Linked DNA regions of Alligator mississippiensis. The protein of the gene in region 2 interacts with the protein of the main gene of each other region in a biochemical or structural test. Links are inferred from orthologs where the notes say so. Each region holds a gene or a part of one and is shown on either strand. Other genes may lie near its edges.

What was found.
Region 1: the proteins of UBXN2B (region 2) and PPP1R7 form a complex in vitro, tested with the Homo sapiens proteins (2 studies listed by BioGRID). The link is inferred for Alligator mississippiensis from reciprocal best matches to the Homo sapiens genes UBXN2B and PPP1R7.

Annotation. Positions count from the first base shown.
Region 1 is NC_081830.1:37,602,292-37,612,901, forward strand, and holds the start of PPP1R7 (protein phosphatase 1 regulatory subunit 7), read right to left. Parts: upstream 4,279-10,610; 5' UTR 4,213-4,278; coding exon 4,170-4,212; intron 3,739-4,169; exon of another isoform or gene 3,661-3,738; intron 3,506-3,660; coding exon 3,383-3,505; intron 1-3,382. Other genes in the region: PASK (PAS domain-containing serine/threonine-protein kinase), read left to right, coding at 6,989-7,160, 9,700-9,932. UniProt on the Homo sapiens protein: Regulatory subunit of protein phosphatase 1.
Region 2 is NC_081826.1:69,625,985-69,635,713, forward strand, and holds the start of UBXN2B (UBX domain-containing protein 2B), read right to left. Parts: upstream 3,910-9,729; 5' UTR 3,886-3,909; coding exon 3,784-3,885; intron 1,951-3,783; coding exon 1,847-1,950; intron 1-1,846. UniProt on the Homo sapiens protein: Adapter protein required for Golgi and endoplasmic reticulum biogenesis. Involved in Golgi and endoplasmic reticulum maintenance during interphase and in their reassembly at the end of mitosis.

The DNA of each region.
Region 1 (10,610 bases), on a different chromosome or scaffold from region 2:
TACAAGTACATTAAGGTTCCCATAGCAATATTAAGTGATCCACATTGTACATACAATGGATTTTACTGATTAAAGATTCAGAACAATTCTGTATGCTCTATATGAACTGTGGGGGAGTCTGTATTGTTATGGGAACTATAACTCTTCGTATTTCCTGGCTTTGGAGCGTTCAGTTTTAAATTGCATTCATTACATTAGGCTGTTGCATTTATATATGCAAATCTTAATACTCTAATAGAGAAAAGGTTTTACCGTCCTCACTCAGATTAGCACCATGCCCAATACTGGCTAATGTATCATCAACAGAGCTACTATATTTTGATTACAGAATCTGCTGTTACCAGTGATGGCAGCTAGGCTAGAAAAGGCATCACTAGACTTAATACTAATCCAGCGTTAGCAGGTTTCATAGATTTCATAGACATTAGGGCTGGAAGGGACAGGTTGAAAAATAGTACCTTTTTACTTGAAGTGAGCAAATGTGATAAACCCCCCACACTGAGATAGTTATGGAAACCCAGACTGACATTTTTGCAGTCATTCATTAAGTGAAAGTATAATTCTACTCTTATGTACTAAAATATGCAAATAGCTTTAGCACAAATTATTTTTATTTTTCTTAAGGAAAAGAAAATTGTTCCAACACTGAAATTTCACAATTTTAATGCACCCCCACAGACTACAAGCTACAGAAAACTACAGAAAGAAGAAAAAAGGTATATACTAGAAGATAGAGGCTTGCAATACAGAACTACTGGGTTATGCAATTCTATTACACCACAGACATTAGCATAATTAAAGCTCAACTGCATATTTAACTCTTAGGTTTTTTCATGCTTATTAGATTGCCTGCAACTTACTGATTTAAGAAAACCTTCAAAGACTATTCCTTAGAGCAGGACAGTGGAACTAGCAGCTCACAGGCTGCCCTGGGCTCCCCCTAGCTACAGTTCTCCTGATTAGTCTAGCTGAGTAGCAGCCAGAGTCTCCAGGCTCCCTTCCCATCTCTCTCCAGAAGGCAGGGAAGCCAGCAGTGCGGAGGGAACTTCAGCCAAGCAGGGAGGGAAGGAAGGGAAGGTGTGGAACTGATTGTCTACACAGTGCAGCAGGAGCTTGCATCTAGGAAAACTGTGGGGGGTGGGAGGGGCAGCCAGTAAGAAGCTGGATAGTTCTGTCTTAGATTTCCCATGCAACTAGTTCTCTAAAAGCTCAGTTGTTTAAGCTGCCTGTACTTAAGATTTCTTATGGAAAAAACATATTTACCTTCTCCTTGGATAACTCAAACCCTGACTGGTTGGATCTAATGCAAACATTCCAGAAATAATTTACTAGGGCAGAGTCCTAGTTGGTTAAAATATTTCCTGAACTCTAGTAGCTATGGAACAAAAATCTAGAATTAAAAATTAAACATAGGTCCTAATTTATCTATTTATCCAATATGAACTTGGTCCATTGGTTTATTGCATAACAGGAATGTGCTACTTGATGGACAGTTAGTTACTTTTGAAATCTTTACTATATGCTTAATAAGCACTATATAAAATATAGTAGCCCCAGAGTATAATTAAAACATGGTGATTTGCTGTGCTGGTAGTGGAAGAATTTTATGAATGATTAATCTACTTGGTTTTATTAGGCATGTTGATTAGATGGTGCTCAAGCTTTATGCAAGAACATATAGATCTTGCAAGCTTGTTAACATATGTAGCTGTTTCATGATTAATGTAGTGTTAAAGTAGTGGGGTCAATCTTTTTGGCAGACATGCTATAAGTTAGCCCAGCATCCTCCCTGAGTGCTGCTTTGTTTTCTGCTCCCTCCCTTGAGCTTCCTACCCAGTCTGTTGTCCTGTGTTCCACTTCCTCCCATGCTTCGTGCCTGATCTGTTACCTCTCCTCCCCCTAGGCTGTCATGTCACACACACAGTCTGTCACAACCACTTGTGGCATATGTACCACACTTTGGCCACCCTTGTGTTAGAGCAGCGTTTCTCAACCTATGGGTCGTGACCCAGAAGTGGGTCACAAGAATATATGAAAGGGTCATGAACAAATTTTAAAAATGGATTCCCCTTTAGAGGAAAAAAAAAAGTGGGAAGCTGTAACTTTCCCCCTGCAGGCTGGCAGAGTTCCAGCCTGCAAGTGGCTGCTTGGGCCCCACCCCCATGCACCACACACTAGACGGCTGGGGCCTGGGACAGCAGGTCAGGAGTGAGGGGCACTGGGTCGGGCGTGGCCATCAATGTTTACAAATGGGTCCTGGTACAAAAAGGGTTGAGAACCACTGTGTTAAGGCATAATGGAAAGATTAAATGGAATAGAAAAAGAGATTTTAAACACTTCTGGTAATTTGCTAATTTTGAGTATATTTTTGCAAATTTTATGGAACAATGTTAGGATGTGATGAACTCTGCAAATCAGGTGTGGCAATGATCCATCAGAAATGATTATGCAGCAGTGAAGAATTGGCCAGAGATCTTATTTCATTTCCAGATAATCTCTCAAATTCCTTAGTATGCCTACTCAAAAAGTGCAAGTATGTTCCTGGTCTTTTGCTGCCTCTTATTTGAACACTAAACAGCAATGTCTATTTTTTTCTTTTGGGTAACGCTTTTATTGCATTATATCCCATCTTTTCTTCATCTTTGGAAAAAAACCAAACGTGCCAGAAATATAAAATGAGGTTGGCAGGTGTCCGCTCTGATAGCTCCCACACGAATCATTAAAGCAAGACCAAGGCAATTCAGACAGCTGTGTAAGCAATACAAAATGTTCATAACTAACAATAATGGGTAAGCTTTGAGCCAAAAGATTCAAGAAATCATTAGACAAGTACCATCAGAAAATAAATTTTACATCGGGGTAATTAAGTGCCTTGCAACTCAAAAACTATTTGACAAATTTACTTCAAGCCTTCCAGAAAACATCTGCCGCCTTCCCCTCCAGCAATTTAGCAAGTTTCAGGCTAAGTCGCATATTTCCAGACAAAATTAAAAAGGCCATAAAAAGTATGTTAGTATTAATAATGGGGTTAGCTACTTCTCTGCAATAAAAGTAACAGAGCTACAATGAGATCCACTAGTACTTTAAACTCTTAGGGCTTCTTTCAAAGTCAAATATGTTTGCAGAGACAGATAAACATGGAAGTATGACAACAGCCTGTAACTTAAATGATCCTCTAAAATGAAGTACTGGAAACGAATGCAGTGCCACAATATGGATTCCAGAATAGAGCATCACAGGGCAGATTCACATATTAACTAAAGCAAATGTGCTCAGTGGATGCTCTTCAAATCACTGCAACCATCTGAAGTGGTACAAGCATCTTGTTACATAGAGCACAGAGAAGCCCTCCCTGCAATGATGATGTAACTTGACTGTATACCTGTTGAATTCTCACCATTCTGCTCATCTCTCAGGCTCTGCTGGCTGAGGTCTGTCACTATGCAAGCTGCTTGCTTCTTCCCTTCTTCATCCCCTGACTCTTCCGATTCAATCCGCCTGTCAACTGTGAGAGATACAGAACAGCAGGCTTAGGCTGCTTTCAGAAGAGAGAGCACCAAGCAGGTACAACAACCAAGACTGACATGAACCACCATGTGGTTAGTAGAGATCCTAAATTTACTAAATTAAAGGTTTAGTCTTAAATAAAAGGCCTCTTACCCCTTGTTTTTACTTTGATTTTTGGAACACTTTTTCCTCCCTTCACATCTTCCTAAAACCAACAATCTGGGAAGAAGACTGGAGGAAAAAGGACATTTCTTAGATCAATGGAGTACGAATCCAAGGGTTAAGGAGACTGAATTAGTATGGTTACATTTAAAAAGCGCAGAGGGGGCTGGCAACTTCCACCCTGGTTTCAAGGAGGGCTGCTCCTCGCCCTACCAGCCCCTCCAGAGCCCGAGAGGCTGCGGCTTGGCTGGGATCAGCGAAGCCTCTGGACGCGCCCACAGGCCTCACGATCAGGGGCCGATGGTGGGGGCAAGGAGGTGAAGCAGCTCGGACCCGGTCGCCCTGCCCGCCCGGGGCCGCCCGACCCTGTGCTCCGCGCCTGCGGGTCCTGCCCCAGCGCCTCGCTCTCGCCCTAGGCCCAGCCGCCCCGGCCCCGAACGTGAGGCCTAGCCGGGCCGCGGGTCCCTCCCCCCGGGCCGGGCCCGCCGGCGGCCTCTCACCCTCCATCATCTCCTGCGGCCCTTCTCCGCTTTCCGCCGCCATGTTGCTTTTCCTGCCCCCGTCCCCCCTCTTTCCGGAACTCGCTGCCGCCACGCGCGCAGCCAATCCCCGGCTGCAGGGAGCCAGCCTTCCAGCCACTCACGTCTTCGCTTTCCTCACCGAGACTCCCGGGGGGGGGGGGGGGCTTTTTGCGCATGCGTACGCCCGCCCCAGCACCCCGCAGCCTTACGGGAGATGTAGTTTCCGCCTTCACGCAGAGGAGGGCGGGGGGTAGAGGTACTGCGGGGCTTGGCCCGGCGCCAGCCCGCTCTACCTCCTCCCCGGCCTCGGCGGCGGAAGCGGGGCCGGGGCCAGCCGGGCTCTCGGTGGATCCCGCTGTGCAGCGTTGTGGGTGGCTCAGCACAGCCCTCAGTAAAAACCAGCTCCGCTGCAACGCAGGCAGAGCATTGGCCAGGGCTGGGCAGCTGGGGTACTGCGACCCTCTTGTCACAGGGCTCACACCGGTCCTTCCGAGGCAGGTTTGGACACTGCCTCGCTCGGCCCCGGATGGAGCCCCTCAGTGCCACTTCAGTGCCCAGCATCCATACGTGATACCTACACTCCGATCAGTCGCCCAATGACTAGGAGGTGCATGTAAATGGCTTCAGCCCAGGGTGGGGCCGAAGGCAGGGGGACTTGCACTTTGTGGACTAACTACCTCAGAGACGTGTAAGTGGAGAGCCACAAGCCCAAGGGAAATCTACCTAACACCTGTAAAAGGCAAACATGGGAATAAAAACGCATAACCTGGCTTGACACTAAGAACCAGCTCTGATAACGGTTTATGGCCCATTTTAATTCTGATTTTTTTCCCACGCAAAGACGAGACTTATCAGCGTCTCCCCCGCCATTCCTTACGATAGGCCTTGATCTCCCAGTAACCCGCTGTTTTTCTTTCCCTAATTGTGTCAGCCCCTCCCCTGCGCTGTGCTCGCTCCGTGCCCGCCTTCCTGCCACCGTGCCAAAGCTCTGACTTGAACCTAGCTCCAGAGTTGGCTCAGTACAAGATACCACCTTAACACGTCCTTGCCCCTCGCATGAGCTTCCCCAAGCAGGGGCTGACTTCCTCCGGTGCTTCATGATGAAGGGCATGCGGGACATGGAGTTTTCTACTAGAAAGCAGTGGTCGAAAAAATGAAGGGGCAGGAGGGAAACAAAGCAGCTACCCCGCTGAGGGACTCAGCAAGGGCTCCGCCTAGCGAGTCCAAGGGAATGGGGTAAGACTCCGCAGCAAGCTCTGTTCTGACTGCCCCTAACACAACCCAGTCACACGCACAGCACCATACACAGAGCGTCGCACGCAGGAAGAGCGCTCCTAAACCCCGCTGGACCATTTTGCCCCCTCCCGCGCCCCGTAGGCAGAGGCGACCGCGTCCCTAGCAACCCCGCGCGCGGGGATTTGGCCCATGGAGAAGCCGTTTGGGCCGCGCGCCCCGGAGGCCAATTGGCTGCTATGGCTGTCAATCCCAACCGTCCCCTCGGGTTCCGCCCTCCGGATTGGACGGAGAGGTGAGCGCGGCCCGCCCCTTTCCCGGCGCGGCAAGCGTTGCTGCCCGGACTGAGGGAGTCGGCGCCGCCGCCGCTGGTTCGTGCCACTGAGACGCCTTGCTCAGCCCCGTGTCTCTGGGCTGCAGGGTACGGAGTTGCTCCCGGCCTCTTGCGGCTTGGGGGGGTCGGGGGAGCGGCGGCGCCGGGTTGGTGAGGCCGTAACTGGCGCAAGACGGCTCGCGGGTCCCTGCGAGGGGGCGGACGGGGCAGGGAGCGGACGGCAGAGCAGCGGATGGGTCAGGGAGCAGAAGACAGCGCCGCCCTGATAACAGGCAGGGAGACGAGGGCAGGGCAGAGCTGCCCATCCCGCTGGGGGCAGCTGCGCAGGCAGGGAGCGCAAGGCAAGAACAGCAGCCCGTGAGGCAGGGGAAGGGGGTGGAGTGGCACCTAGGGTGTGGGGCTACCTTGTGTCCCCCTCTGTTGTAGGACACTTTTACTTTGTGTCCCTAGGAATTCCCATGTAGCTCATCGGAGACATCTAGTGAAGGTTAGGCTTAAGGAAGAGCCTGTCACTAGTACAGCCTTTTTCTGTGTTTGAAAATGACCCTAGCAATGAGAAGCGGGGCTGGCTGAGGGCACATTCCTTCTTCAGAAGTAACTTGGAAAAGCCAGGTGGGCGTTAAGAACAGAGATCAAAGGCTCATACAGCCATGGAAAAACTTGGCCTTCATAGATTCATAGACATCAGGGCTGGAAGGGACCTCACAAGATCATCGGATCCAGCCCTCTGCCCAAAGGGCGAGCAGGCAGTCAGCTGGGGTCATGTGATCCCAGCAGGATAGGCCTCCAAGTGTTTCTTAAAGGAATCCAGAGTAGGTGCCTGCACCTCTTTGGGGAGTCTATTCCAGGCCCTGGGGACTCAGACAGTAAAGAAGTTTTTCCTTATGTCCAGCCTAAAATGGTCTTCCAAGAGTTTGTGACTGTTGGTCCTAGTCTTCCTAAGGGGTGCCCTGGTGGTGGTGGTGTTTTATTTGCCTCGTGGTGTTTGTGGGTAAAATGGTCCTAAGTGAGGTCATTTAGACACCCCGGGGCCTTTTGAAAACTGGACATAAATGATAAAAAGCTTCAGAAAACGTTACCCAAGGCCTTGTCTCACTCCTCATTGTGGCTAGATCTGAGGCACACTGACAAGGTGCCCTTATGCTTTGGATTACAACTTGTAAATCTGACTGAACTCTTCTGTATTTCCTTCAGAGATGGTGGATCCCAAGGGTGACGTGACAGTTTGAATATGGCAGCCATGGAACACAGCTGTGGTGAACAGGGGCTAGCATGTTCCTCACCGGGGTTATCCCTCCGAGGACTAAATGACTCTGATGAGCTGAGCAAATCCTATCCTTGGACCAACAAGAGCAGGAAAAGCCGGCTTTCTAAACTTTGCCGGAGTAAACCATCTTTGTCTGGTGATTATCCCACAGTATTCTGTCAATGTGAACTTGTTAACTGAAGAGATGTGCATGCTTTTAAATGTCTGTAAGGTTTGCCTTATATATCAGAAATGACAGAATTAATGAAGTAACTGGCAGGGGGAGGGAAGAAAGGGGAGAAGATTATGTTGGTACTAGGGGAATTGAGAAGGGAGGGAATTGAACTTGGAATGTATTCATGGGCTGGGTGTGTCTGTTACATACTAGTCACAGACAGTATAACTGTGTAGATCAGGGGTCCTCAACCCCTGGCCTGTAAGCCAAATCTATCTCTCGGAGCTATGGCTCCCCACAAGTCAGAAAATTTAGTTGCAGGGAGCAGTGTCAATTAATACTGCCACTGCACCCGTACTGCCAAAATACTGAGCCCCACGCAGTCAATCAGGCCTGGCTCAGGCTCTTGCCATGTGGCTGGATGGGGCCCAGGCTGGCCTTGCACTCCACAGTTAGATTGGGCCCTGGCTGGTTGTTCTATCGCTCTCCCCCATGTGGCTGGATCAGGGCCAGGTTGCCCCCCCACCCCATGCAGCATGGGGCAGATGGACCTGGGCTGCCCATTAGGGCTGTGCAAAGCTTTGGGTGCTGATTCGGTTCAGAGGAGATTCGGTCCGATTCGGTGGATGAATCTCTGAATCCAAATCGAATTGGGACAAATTAAAAGGTCCAAATCAATTTGAAGCTCTCTGAATTGATTCAGAAAAGATTCGGAGAGCTTTGGTGATTTGGGCAGTCCCAGCTGGCTGCAGCAGGGAGCTGGACCCTGACTCCATGCTGATAAGTAGGCGGCGAGGGAGGGAAGGCTGGAGGAGGGGGAGGGGACCATGGGGGGACCCGTGCCAGGCCACATTCCCTGCCTGCTTCCCAGTCCCTCAGAGCGCCCCCCAACCCCCACCTGCTCTCCCAGCCACCCCAGTGGCTGCCCTGCCCGGCCCCAGCTCCTGGCTCTTTAAAAAAAGCCTCTAGTTACCCGCTGCTGCCAAGCAAGGGGGGAATCCCTGCTGCCCCCCACTGCCCCTTGCTGCATGGGGGAGCTCTGCCACAAGCTCCCCCCCCCCACCCCTTGGTCCACCCCAGCTCCTGGCCCTTTAAAAAAACCCCAAAACTCTGGACTTACTAGCTGCTGCAGCAGCCTTGGGGCTTCTGGGGGCTCATGGAAAATCCCCCCCATGCAGCGCAGGGCGGCAGGGGTCAACCCCCAGCTGGGCAGGAGCTGGTGAGTATATGGAGCTTTTTTTTTTTTTTTTTTAAAGGGCCGGTAGCTGGGGCAGGCAGGGCAGCCATAGCAGGGCTGGGAGAGCAGTCGCGGGTCCAGGGGCTCATTGCAGAGTCCCACTATGTGGCAAAGGGCAGTGGTGGGCAGCGGGGATCACCCCTCGCTGGGCAGGAACCAGTGAGTGGGGGCTTTTATTTTTCAAAGAGCCGGGGCTGGGAGAGTGGGCAGGGGATGGGGCCTGTGTGACTCAGAAATTCCGTTGATTTGACAGCAGCCGAATCTCCAAATCAGATTTGTCCGAATCAATTCAGGACAGTGATTTGAATCACTGAATCAAATTACTGTCCCCCAAATCGGCTGAATCAGAAGTGAATACTAGCCACTTCATACAGGCCTACTGCCCATCCATGTCCCTATATGCCTGGATCAGCTTGGGCTGCCTTCCCCTCTGCAGCTGAAATGGGGCCCGGCCATTCCTGCCTACCCTGCTGGGATGGGGCTGAGCCATTGCTGCTCAGCAGAATTGGGGCAGGGCCCCTTCTGCCCCATGCTCCAGATTAGGTCCATCATCTGGGTCTGACCCACAGATTGATTTAGTACTGCCCATCTGGCCTGTGGGATGAAAAGTTTGGGCATAACTGGTATAGATACCATCAGACTGCTCCAATTGTGACCTCTTTGCAATGCTGCCTGTTCCTGAAAGCTGCTTCTTTTTTTCAGGAGTGAAATGGTGAGGCTTCATGGTTGATGCTCTGCCACTTCCTGAAGTACCACAGTTTACAGGCAGTGCTGCCAAGACTTTTGGCACAGTTGGTTGACAAGATGTGCACATTCACATAGTTATGAGAACTGAGGACTAGGGTAGCATTTCAATCACAGATCTGCTTTAGTTATGAACAGTTAATTAACTGACTTCTGACTAAACAAATATTTAAAATAACTGCAGTTTAGATTATTAAAACAACAGAATTTTTTTTGCATTTCACTTGGTTTGGGCTAAAGGCAAGCAGAATTATGTTACTGGTTATCATGCAAAAGCACAATTTTTTCAGTCTTTGGGTTATAGCCACTGGAATACTTACTACATCCAATCCAAGCAATTGTATGAGTTAGCAGTGTTTTCATTATTATTAATGTAATTATGAATAGTTTAAGATCCTTCCTTAGCCTCAAAATTTATGTTTTGATGTTTAACTATTTGAAAATTGTTTCAGCTGATGCTTAATCTTTCTCTGAACATTCTCTCTCATGTAAATGCTCCATTTGCAGATTTCTGTAGCTGATTCTCTTTCCTTGTCATAGGGAATGGGTGGAGTTCTTATTGTTTGTCTTCACTGGCTGCTCACAACATTAGTACCAGCAAACTTAGTAACTCTTGGGTTCAACTGGAATCAGACTCCCTGTCCAGTTCATTTAGTAGCACTTCTTATTCCTTCTTGAATGCCCTGACCGTAGAGGAGTCTGCCCAGTCCTTCCTGACTGCTGTACGCAACCCAAACAAAGCTATATTCACTGTGGATATCAGAACAACAGAGGTACCTATTTGTATCTATTAGTACTAACTTAAAAATAAACTTTGTATAATTATGTTATGCCATATAGTGTTGTGTTATATAGACTCAAAACTTGTATTATTTTTACTTGTACTGCTAAGGGAACTTGAGGTCATTCTTTTATTTAAATTCTTGAGATTATCATCCTACAACCACTAACTATCCATTGATCTCAACTGTTTTCTATAATTGGTGAAATATACACAGAGATGACCTGAGCAGGGTGCGGGACACAGGGCAAATCAGCCTGTGCGGGGCCCCACCCCTGGACGTGAGGAAGCCAGTGGCAGATTCAGCGGTGATCAGGAGGTGGTGCCAAGTGGCCGGAGGCACCAGATTTAGCAGTGGAGGGGCAGGAGGGGAATGCCAAGCAGCCAGATGTGAACATAGTGGCAGTGTGGAGTCGCTGTGGCCTCTCCGCCTGGCTCTGGGGGCCCCCCCAAAGCGCAGGGCCTGGGGCAGTCGCCCCAATTCGCGCCCCCCCCAGGGACTGCTCTGAATATAAAAGACAAAAAGCAAACAACAAGTATCTTAAACGTTTCCCGAGTAGGATAGGGAGGAGTAACAACAATTGTTAAGAAAAGTTTTATTCTTAAAAGGTTGTTTGTTTGTTTGTTTGTTTTAAATGTATTAATGCTATGCAACTTTAATTTTACTGTA
Region 2 (9,729 bases):
TTTAATGCAAGTAACTCAGGCACCAGGTCTTTCTTTCATATAAAATACCATAGCTCCAATTGATTTTAGAGGTGAAATTGAGATTTTATATCAGCTGAAAACCTGTTAATTTATATAACAAAGTCCTTTTAGCTTCACAGCTAGAAAAAGCATGACATACAGATAAAACTCTCTTGACCCCAAAGGGCTCACTGCAGGCCAGATACAGAACACGGGAATCCTTGTGCGCTGGATCCAGACTTGCCTCCAGCAGCAGAGCAAGTAGTGTCAGGGAGTGACAAGGGTTAATGCAAGTGTCATTTGTTCCTTTGTTACCAACACACCACAGGTCTCCACTGGGTTGCTAGAATCTGGCAACAGCCCATTCTGGAATTTGCAGACCCTTCAAGAGCCCACAGTCCAGATGATACGGCTCTGCAGGTAATACCTGTGACACCCCTGGACTAAAATATACTTAAAGACGGAATTCCTTACATTAAAGGGCATCCTTGAAAAGGCATCCTGCCAAGAGATCAGAGTCCCAGTATGTGGTTACCAATAAAAAGCAGGAGTCTGCTCATATTTACCAAAGTATTTAAAATACAATTCCAGTTTTTCCTTTGCTTAGAAGTGAGAATTATAATTTAGCAGTATTGACAAATAATGTTTAATAGTAATCTCTATAGATTACCTGTCCAGGCTGGACAGGTATTCTCAACTAGACACAGTTACCTGAGAGCCCAACATTGTGCCAAATTCCGTTTTTTTCCCAGAGATCCCTGTGGACAAATGGAAACTATTCTCCAAATGCAAAAACTCTCTGTTGGCATACACCTGCTTTTGTTATTGAAATACACACAGATAGGTCTGACTTGAGGTGGTATAACTGAAGAGTTACACAAACCTTATTTTGGTTCTTATCCCGTATACTAAATCCAGATAAATATATATTTTTAAAGAAAACACAATTTATCTATTATTAAATTAAAATTATATTGCTTTTATTTTTACTTAAGTTTAAATGTGGCAGGATTATTTTTGTATTCTAATCACTTTTTTCTAGTTAGAAGCTCTGCTTTGTTCCTCCAGTCACTTCTCAGCATCTGATGAAGTAAGTTGCTACTTATGAAAGCTTATACATTTCTGATTTAGGTGTTAATCTACCCTGCCTTTTGCTTGATTTCAGACTAAGAAGGCTAAATATCCTTCTCACAAATCTTTGAGAAGGCTGTGAGTTTCTAAATATTCTGTTATGTGAACTCTAAATACTGAAAGTCAAATTCTTGCTGGCTATATGCCCCTAAAAAGCCTTCATCCAAGAAAAAAAAGAAAGTTATGTTCAGTTTCTTCACAATACAGGGGATGTCCATCCAAGTTCTTTACTCTTGTTAAGAACCGTAGAGGACATCTGCCAGATGGCAGCTTCTGAGACTTATTTTTGGGAAGGATTTAATGAACAAAGTTGGTGCATCTTATATTGATGCAAGCACCATGGTTTCCTAACATAGAAAAGATGTGGATTGTTCCTGGTCCTAAAAAAAGTTCACCAAGAAATTGAGAGAGAGACAGATACTTCTGCACCTAACAGAGCGGTTTGGAAAACTTGCAGTGTAAAGAAGAGTTGATAAATTATTATGTGCTAAAAGAGATTCCTAAGAAGAACTTACATATTGTAGTGATCCACTCTTCACATCTCTACATAATAATAGCATTTTTAAACAAGCTGTGCTATATAATATTCTGTTCTTTCAGATCAAATATTAGAATATTGTGACAACAGCAAGGTTGGTGAACTAAAGCAAATATTTCATATTTCACATGAACAAACACATGAATAAATAATAATGAAGAGCAAAATACTTCTTACCTCTGAACAGGTACTATTGGGTTATTGACCAGGATACCTGTTGGTCTGTCAGAATGGGACGATTGACTTTTAACTTCATCCTGATACAATCCTGCCAAGGCCAACTATAAGAAACACCAATTTTTTTTAGAAAGTCTTTAACATTAGAAGTGTAAACTGCACAAAGAACACAGGATTAAAAATAACTAATACAATGTGTGCACCTCAGTGATACAGGACAACCAACATTAATATGAGAGAAACAAATGATTTGTAAACAGATGCTTTGATTTTGTGCATCTGTGCTCCAAAATAAACAAGCTTGCACTTAGTTACACATTAGAAAACACACAAGTCTGAAGTGCTTAAGAATATGTCAGGACTACCCTGGATTCAAAATGACTTGAGACTTAATACAGAAATATTGGTTCAGGATTCATTATTGATACAGGTTATGATAAATAAAGAGGTTCTGTACTCATGCCAAACAAGAGGCCACTTTACTTTTGATAAAGCTCATGAGTGGAATAACTTTGAATTTATTTTTTTAGCTCTTACATGAAATGCTAACCAGGAAACATAGCTCTAATTCAGCAAAGTACTTAATCCTATGTTTAATGCGTCTTCAGCACATGATTAAAATCACAGGCCCCAAAAAAAAGGCTGCAGTTCCCTTTATTTAAGGTTCTCCCCAAGGGTAGCCATACATAGGTGCCGCCATTTCTCTGGCAGATTCAGTTTTAAAAGAATTTGTGGGAGGCATACTAAATATGTCATTTTTGGTAGCTCATCTGTTACTGTATTTAACACCATTTACTCAGTTTTAAAAAATATATTAAGATTTCGTTTTCCAACACAGCTCGGTCTTGCATTTCTCTAGATACACAAATGGCGCAAAAATGTCATCATGCTCACTGCTGGAGGTGCTGAACAGCAGCAATGCTGGTACTACTTGGTTCACAAAAGCAACCATCGCAATGAGACCACCGTCATCTGCTCTTTACCAGGTGGGTTCTCCGGCGCTCGCTGCATTCCAATAATCTCAGCGGCAAGCCGGGCATTTTCCAGGAAAGCACTGAAGTACAGAAGGCTATTAACAAAGTCACAAATTTGTCACCAGGCCAAGCTCAAATTGCATGTGTGTGCCACTGAGCTGTACAGGGGGCCAAAGGTTGTCTTCTCTCAGAAGCCAATGAAAAAACACCTGCTCAAAAAATCCCTAGTGGTATTTAACTAATAAACTGGTGACACCTTGCAAAGAATGCGAACACAGAACCAGGGTCTGAATTACACTTGACCTCTTGCGGGGTGGGGGGAAGCAAAAAAAATTGGGCTGTCCATCACAATACCCTAATAAAATCGGAGCATCCCAGGTTATGATTTTCAAATCTTATAGGACAGCCCTTGTTTCTCATAGGGGGCTCACTCCCCAGCTCTCCTGCAACTGGAACCCTGCATAAAACTACTGGTGCAGACTTGGTTTTCTCCACACAAGTACTTGCTCCTCCTGCCGGGGAGACCTAGGTCCCTCGCCTCCTCCAAAGGGGAAGCAGAGGTTGTTTTGCAGGGTCTCCTCAGCCGTGAGAGGCAACCCCCGTCCTTGTACCCTGGCAGGCGGGTCCCACCCAGGGCAGCCTGGAGGTCCTGCCGGGGGTGGTGCCGCTGGGCACCCAAAGGTGATGCAGGGGGTAAACCCAAGCCAGACTCCTTCCTGCACCGGGCGGGCCGCTCTGGAGTCACACCCCACGTGTAAACTGGGAGTCGGGTCTCGGCTGCAGCCCGGGCTGACAACAAAGATCCGGCAGGGCGCGGCGCGGCGCGGCTGGGACGCCAGAGACGCGGGGCGGGGCGGGGCGGGGTGGGGTGGGGCAGGCTGGCAGCAGCATCGCTCCCCTCCCCTCCCGCCCCCCGCTGAGGGGCAGTGGGGGGCGTTCCCGCCCCGCTCAGCCCGGGCGCACCTGCAGATCGCGGGCTGTGGGGGGCCGCGGCCGGGGCCCGCGCCCGCTGCCCGAGGCCGCCGCTGCCGCCGCCTCCTCGTCCTGCCGGCTGCCGTCCGCCATCTTCCGCCGCTCCCCGGGGCCGGGGGGAGAGGGGGGCACCGCGGAGCACTTCCGGCAGCGGCGGCGGCTGCCATGGCAACGGGGGAGCTGGACCAGTGCCGGCGGCTTCCCCCTCCCCCACCCGTGTGCGGGGCTGCAGCGGGCGGGGCTCCCGGGGCGGGTGGGGTCACCCGTCTGCGCTCCCCGGCACGGGCGGGGGCAGCGTTCACACGGTGTCGCCCTGGGCGCCTGCCGCGCAGTATGACACCGGCCAGGTAACGCGGGTCACACACCAACCTGCTACCTTTGAGCCGCCCAAGCACGCCTGATACTAGTTTCAGGTGTTCAAGGGTTGCCGTGTTTTTTTCCAGTTTCAAGAAAGAGAGGGGGGAGAAGGGTGAGCCCCTGCCCCTCACTTTCAAGCCCCAGCCCTGCCGGTGCCCCTCACTCCTGACTTGCAGCCTCTTGCCCCCCCCAGCTGCCTTCTGCTGCCCTTCGTTCCCCACCCTCCAGGCCATGCCCTGCCCCCATGCTGCCCCCTGGCCCTGCCTGTGCCCTGCACTCCCAAGCCGCAGCACCCCACAGCGCTGCCAGTGCCCCTCACTCCTGACCTGCAGGCCCCTGCCTCCTCCTAGCTGACCTCCTGGTTACCCTTCAGCGCCTGCCTGGGGTACTGTGGGTTGGGAACGAGGGGCAGCAGTTTAAAAAACTGCCCAGACCCAAAAAAAGGATATGTTCAGGAAAACCCGGATGTATGGTAACCCTAGGTGTTCATGTGCAGACAACCCAGGTGTTAGGAGCTCCAGGAGCTGCCCGAAATTACCGTGCAACAAGGCCCGCAGAATCCATAGTATTAAAAGCATTGTGACCTATTGCGATCTGAGTTCTTTGCAACAAGAATTGTTCTGTTATTTTCCTGTAGTCAAGCGAAAATCAAGCGAAAACTAAGAACTGACCTTTTTCAAGGGGCGACCTTTGTCTATTGAAGGATGCCTTGAATCTAAAAAGGTTGAGAATCACTGTTCTAGGGGGTGAGAAGGATTAAAGTCTTCCCCATATGTTGGAAGCAAGGATTTTTTTCCAGGTTTTATTGGACAAACTGTGTGGCTGGGATAAGGTTAATCAAACTTTTGAATGTAAGGCATTCTTCAGTAGGTTACCTTAATTTTCAGGAGCCTTGCATTCAAAAGCTTGCCTAACCTTATCGCAAACATGCAGGTATTCCAATAAAAGATATTGTCCAAGACATCCTTGTCTTTTGCAAAATTCCTGGACTGGCACTCTAAACATTACTTCTACATTGGGCAATTCCACGTGTCTCAGACTAGCCTGCCCAAAGTGGCTTAAACTGGAAGATGCATAAGTTCTCTTCAGTTGCCTTCTGGTGTTTGAGTCCAGGGATTCTTTGTGACCAAGAGGTGTAGAAGCATACTCTTCTGAAATTAAATGAAATCTGAAATCCTCACTTTTATATATAGCTCTGTGAGCTGAGGCTTGAAGAAAAATAACAAGGATCACAGCTATTACAACAAATTACCTGAGTTGGCAAAACTGTGTGTAAGGATCAACCAAGTACCCAAGTTGCCTCAAGAAATTTACAAGTCAATATTTACTTAATGGCCTAGGGCCACATAATGATCATTTTCTGTTGAAAGTATTGTGTCCCAAGGTGCAGCAATCCCACATTTGAGTCTATAGAAGAAATCCAGTGTGAGGGTTCAGCCAGGAATTAGGTGGCTGGGCCTCCAGGTAGATCCTGAAGGGCAACCAGGAAGCCTGCTAGGTGGGGGGTACAGTTTACCAAGATGTCAATTGTGGTCTGGATCAGTGGAGCAGAGGGCGCAGGATCAGGTTCCAGGAAAGCTGAAAGGGAGGCCTGAGAGACAAGGTGCAAACTGAGGTTGGAAAGCAGGAGAGTCAGATGCCAAATTGCAGAAAATATCCAAGAGCAGGGTCAAGGGAAGTCAGAGCCAAATTAGGAGCCAGGAGAATCAGGGCCAGTTGCCATGTTTCAGGGAAGATCCAAGATTAGGGTCAAGAAAAGCCACAAACAAGTCAGGAGCTAAGAACCAGAGAGAGCAGTGAATGCAAGACTTGCCAGAGCAGACCAAGAGCATTATCAAAGTGTACCTATAGTCTGAGGCTGTAGCAGTGCTTAAAAGGGCTGAGCAGTGCTCTCAGCAGCCAGTCTGGCTATAGAGAACTGGGGCAATTGCATTAGTATGGGATCAAGGCCAAGTGTGGAAGCTCAAGAGCTTGGCCTAACTGGGCCTGACTGGCCAGAGGCTTGTGGCACCCAGTGTGGTATTATATACAACTAATGTATATTGAATACTGTTTATCCTAAAGCAATAGCTTTTAATGCTGCATGTGTTTTTGCCAAATGTACTGAAATACTTAGTACATCTGTGAAATTGATGCCATTTATCATTTGTCCTGTTACTGGCCTTTTCTATGTTGAACTGATGCTGCAGAAGAGAGGAATGTTAACACAGCACAGTACAGGTGTAAAGTAGGGATGGTGGATTCTTGTTTATAGTTTTAGAATATAACAAATAGCAAGTTAGAAAGAGAGGGAGACCAGAAGAAAAAAGAGGAGAAGCACCCTAATACTTATAAAAATACTAAAGAGATCTTAAGTTTTAAACAAATATTGGTGTTTGCCCAAAAATCACTCCCCCAAAAGAAAGGTTTTAACCCTATAAAAACAAAACAAATATTGGTTGCACTAGATTTGAGAATATTAGAGGACCAGCTACTAGAGAAAGCTCAACAAATTTTAGTTAGGATATTTCAAACAGAGGACAATTAGACATGCTGACACACTAATCACTACTCTGCCCAATCAAAACAGCTGCTGGTTAACATTTTTATAATATACACTCGTGAATACTGAAATGATAACAGTGGCTTTTTGGAATTTTATCTGATGTTTTGGACTGACATTTTCAATCAGTAATCATCTAACATTGAAATGGCATTATCAATTATTCCTCAACTGAAACATTAAATGGGTCTTCACCCAGAATTCCCAACTACTACTAGCATTCATCTCAGTAAATGCTGAGCTGAAATACTTTTGTAGCCTAAAACTAGCACTCAGTTGAAAGAGTGAGCTAATATTTCATATCTGCTTCCATTCAAGTGGAACTGCCACTGCTCATTCTGCTGAATCTGTCAGGGCCCTATTTATAATGGCTTAATTGTCAGAGATGCCAAAAACTGACATTAACAGTTTTGTGAGTACATATCACCTCCACAAATAGGATAGTAACACACAACACACTTATTCTGGTATCTCAGCCCTCAGCACACATACAAATAGGACATTTTGTTTCACTCTATAAAAAACAAGTTCAAAACAGAGGGCAGTTGGCCAGACATAGGAAGAGAGTTATTTGTATGTATACTATGTAAGGGAGTCTTGTACACCTGTACACACTGCACTGGGTGCATGAAATACTTTGGAAAAAGATCTTAGGAACAGCGCCATTATCCAATGTGTTCAGATACAGTTACATCTAAGGTAATGTTTAGATTTTCACTGGAGTTGAAAGAGTACCAAAGGATGAAATGTACGGCCTTTCAATTTCCTATTATTAATTTGGTTGCATTTCAAGAAAATACAATGATCTACGTATATTTGCAAAGTGACTTGTTATCTTCGTTGAAAAGGATCAAGAACCTTTGTTCACCTATTATGCACAGCAAATTGCAAGCCCCCTTATAATTTATTACCATTATGATTATTTGATTTGGTTCAGTTTATTACAGTTGAGAATTCTCTCCCCATGGACAAAGATCAGAATGAAAGATTAGATTTGTTTTCCTTGAAATTTCCAAAAAATTCTAAATCTAACCACAAAACATACCCCAAACCCACGCACAGCTACCTTCCTTTTTTCCTTAAAGCCTCATACCACCCCAAAAAAATTGGAAATGTCTAATTTCTAGGATTCACACAGAACACTATGTATAGCATAATAAACTAGTCCCTTTTCCTTTGGCTTATTTGAAAACAAATAGAAATAAAAATGAATTAACATAAATTGGATCTGGTTGTTGAGGCTTTTATTTGAGTGTGCCAAGAATGAAAATGTAGTCACATGTTTCATTCATTTTTTTTTGGCTGATTAGTGAAATGCAGCTGTTGCTTAAATGAAAATCTCCCACAGTGATATAGTCTGAATTAGGATAGGCAGCATCCAAATTGTGATTTCTGTAATGGCCACATTTTTTATATTGAATTTTATTTATATAGATATAAATAAATAAAATCAGGTCTTATTGTCATTAGATGTCCCAGGTTTGAATGGGCTCTCTGTTCCCAAATATTGGTGATGTTTCTCCTTGTTACTCCTGACTGGCAACAGTGTTGCAAGATATTGCCTGAATGTAGATTAAGATTTCATTGTGCTCTCATTGAGAATTTATTTAGCTCTAGACATCTGGGAATGTTAAATCTAACTACCTTAAGCAATCATTTTAATTTGCATAACATTATTGCTGTGACCAGTGTTTTTCTGCACAGTTTTATATTTAAAACTGTTAATTACTACCTGGTAGCTATCTTCCCTTAATTAAAAATAATCTGCATTTTTTGTATGTTCTAAAATACTTTTCAACTAACCTAGCTATGCATTCCCCAAGTGATGAAAATGCATACTATTACCATCCTCTTACAGACAGCCAATGTGGCTCTTTAATTACCAAATCCCCAGTGAAACTGGTGGTGTTCAACATTAAGATTAAAATACAGTTGAGTAATTTTAAAAATGTTCCTTAAGACTCAGATTAATGAAGACATCTGTGGATGCAGAACTGGAAAAGGGAGAGGAAGAGAGAAAGGTACGATGGCAAGTGTGGTAATGCAGTTGCATTTGACCAGGAGCAATATTGCCCCAAGTACAAATTAGTGTTCCAAGAGCAGCAGGGGCCACTGAGATGAGAAAGGAAGGAAATCTCTCAGAAATACTCAAGAGGTTCTAGAAGGTTTTGTTGAAATCTTAGTAGTTCTTAGAGCAACTTGGGAGCTCTTGATGCACTCAAAACAAACTCTTCTAGACTGTGGGCAAAACGGAACACCTAACTTAAATTTAATTTGACTCCAAACACCCTCTCTCATTTCTGGAACTCATCTGTAGTCATTCATGAAATTTAGGAAAAAGCAAAACAGAACAATTCCTCCTGCCACCCACAAACTACACAGTACAACTGGAAAAACACAGCATGTGAAATTCTAAAATTGTTTTTTTTTCAGTCATAAAAAAGGCTTTTTAGTAAGACTGATTCATATATTATTTTACTGTCATGCTTAAATTTAAGCACGTATTCAAAAACCTTACTGAGATGGTTTTCATATAAATAAATAATATAAATAAGAAAAATAAAAGTTTTTTTATATAAATAAATAAAAGTACATGATAATAGTAAAATTTCTCTGCCAAAAAAATTGTAGCCCTGCAAGTGCACACAGAGGGTTTTTTAAAAATTATTTTTATATAAATTATATTTTAATGCCAGAATTAATGGTGTGTTTTCTCTAATATTCTCTAGCTTTCAGAGGCGAGTTACTAAAATGACAAAAACATTTTTAGCTAGACATGCAGAAAATTATAGTATTAAATGCCATTAGAATGATTCAGTAAACAATTTTGCTACAGTACACAGTAACATATTAATTAGAAAATTGCTCAACATATAGTACAAATAGAATTAATCAGGACAATTCTGAAAGACAGAAATTTAAAATATTCTGATCATCATTTGGAAAGAAAACCATTCTGAAGATCTCATCTATAAACTGCGCTGGGATGTATTAAGCACTTCTGTTAAAACTCCCTGTTTATTGGACCCAAAGTCCTT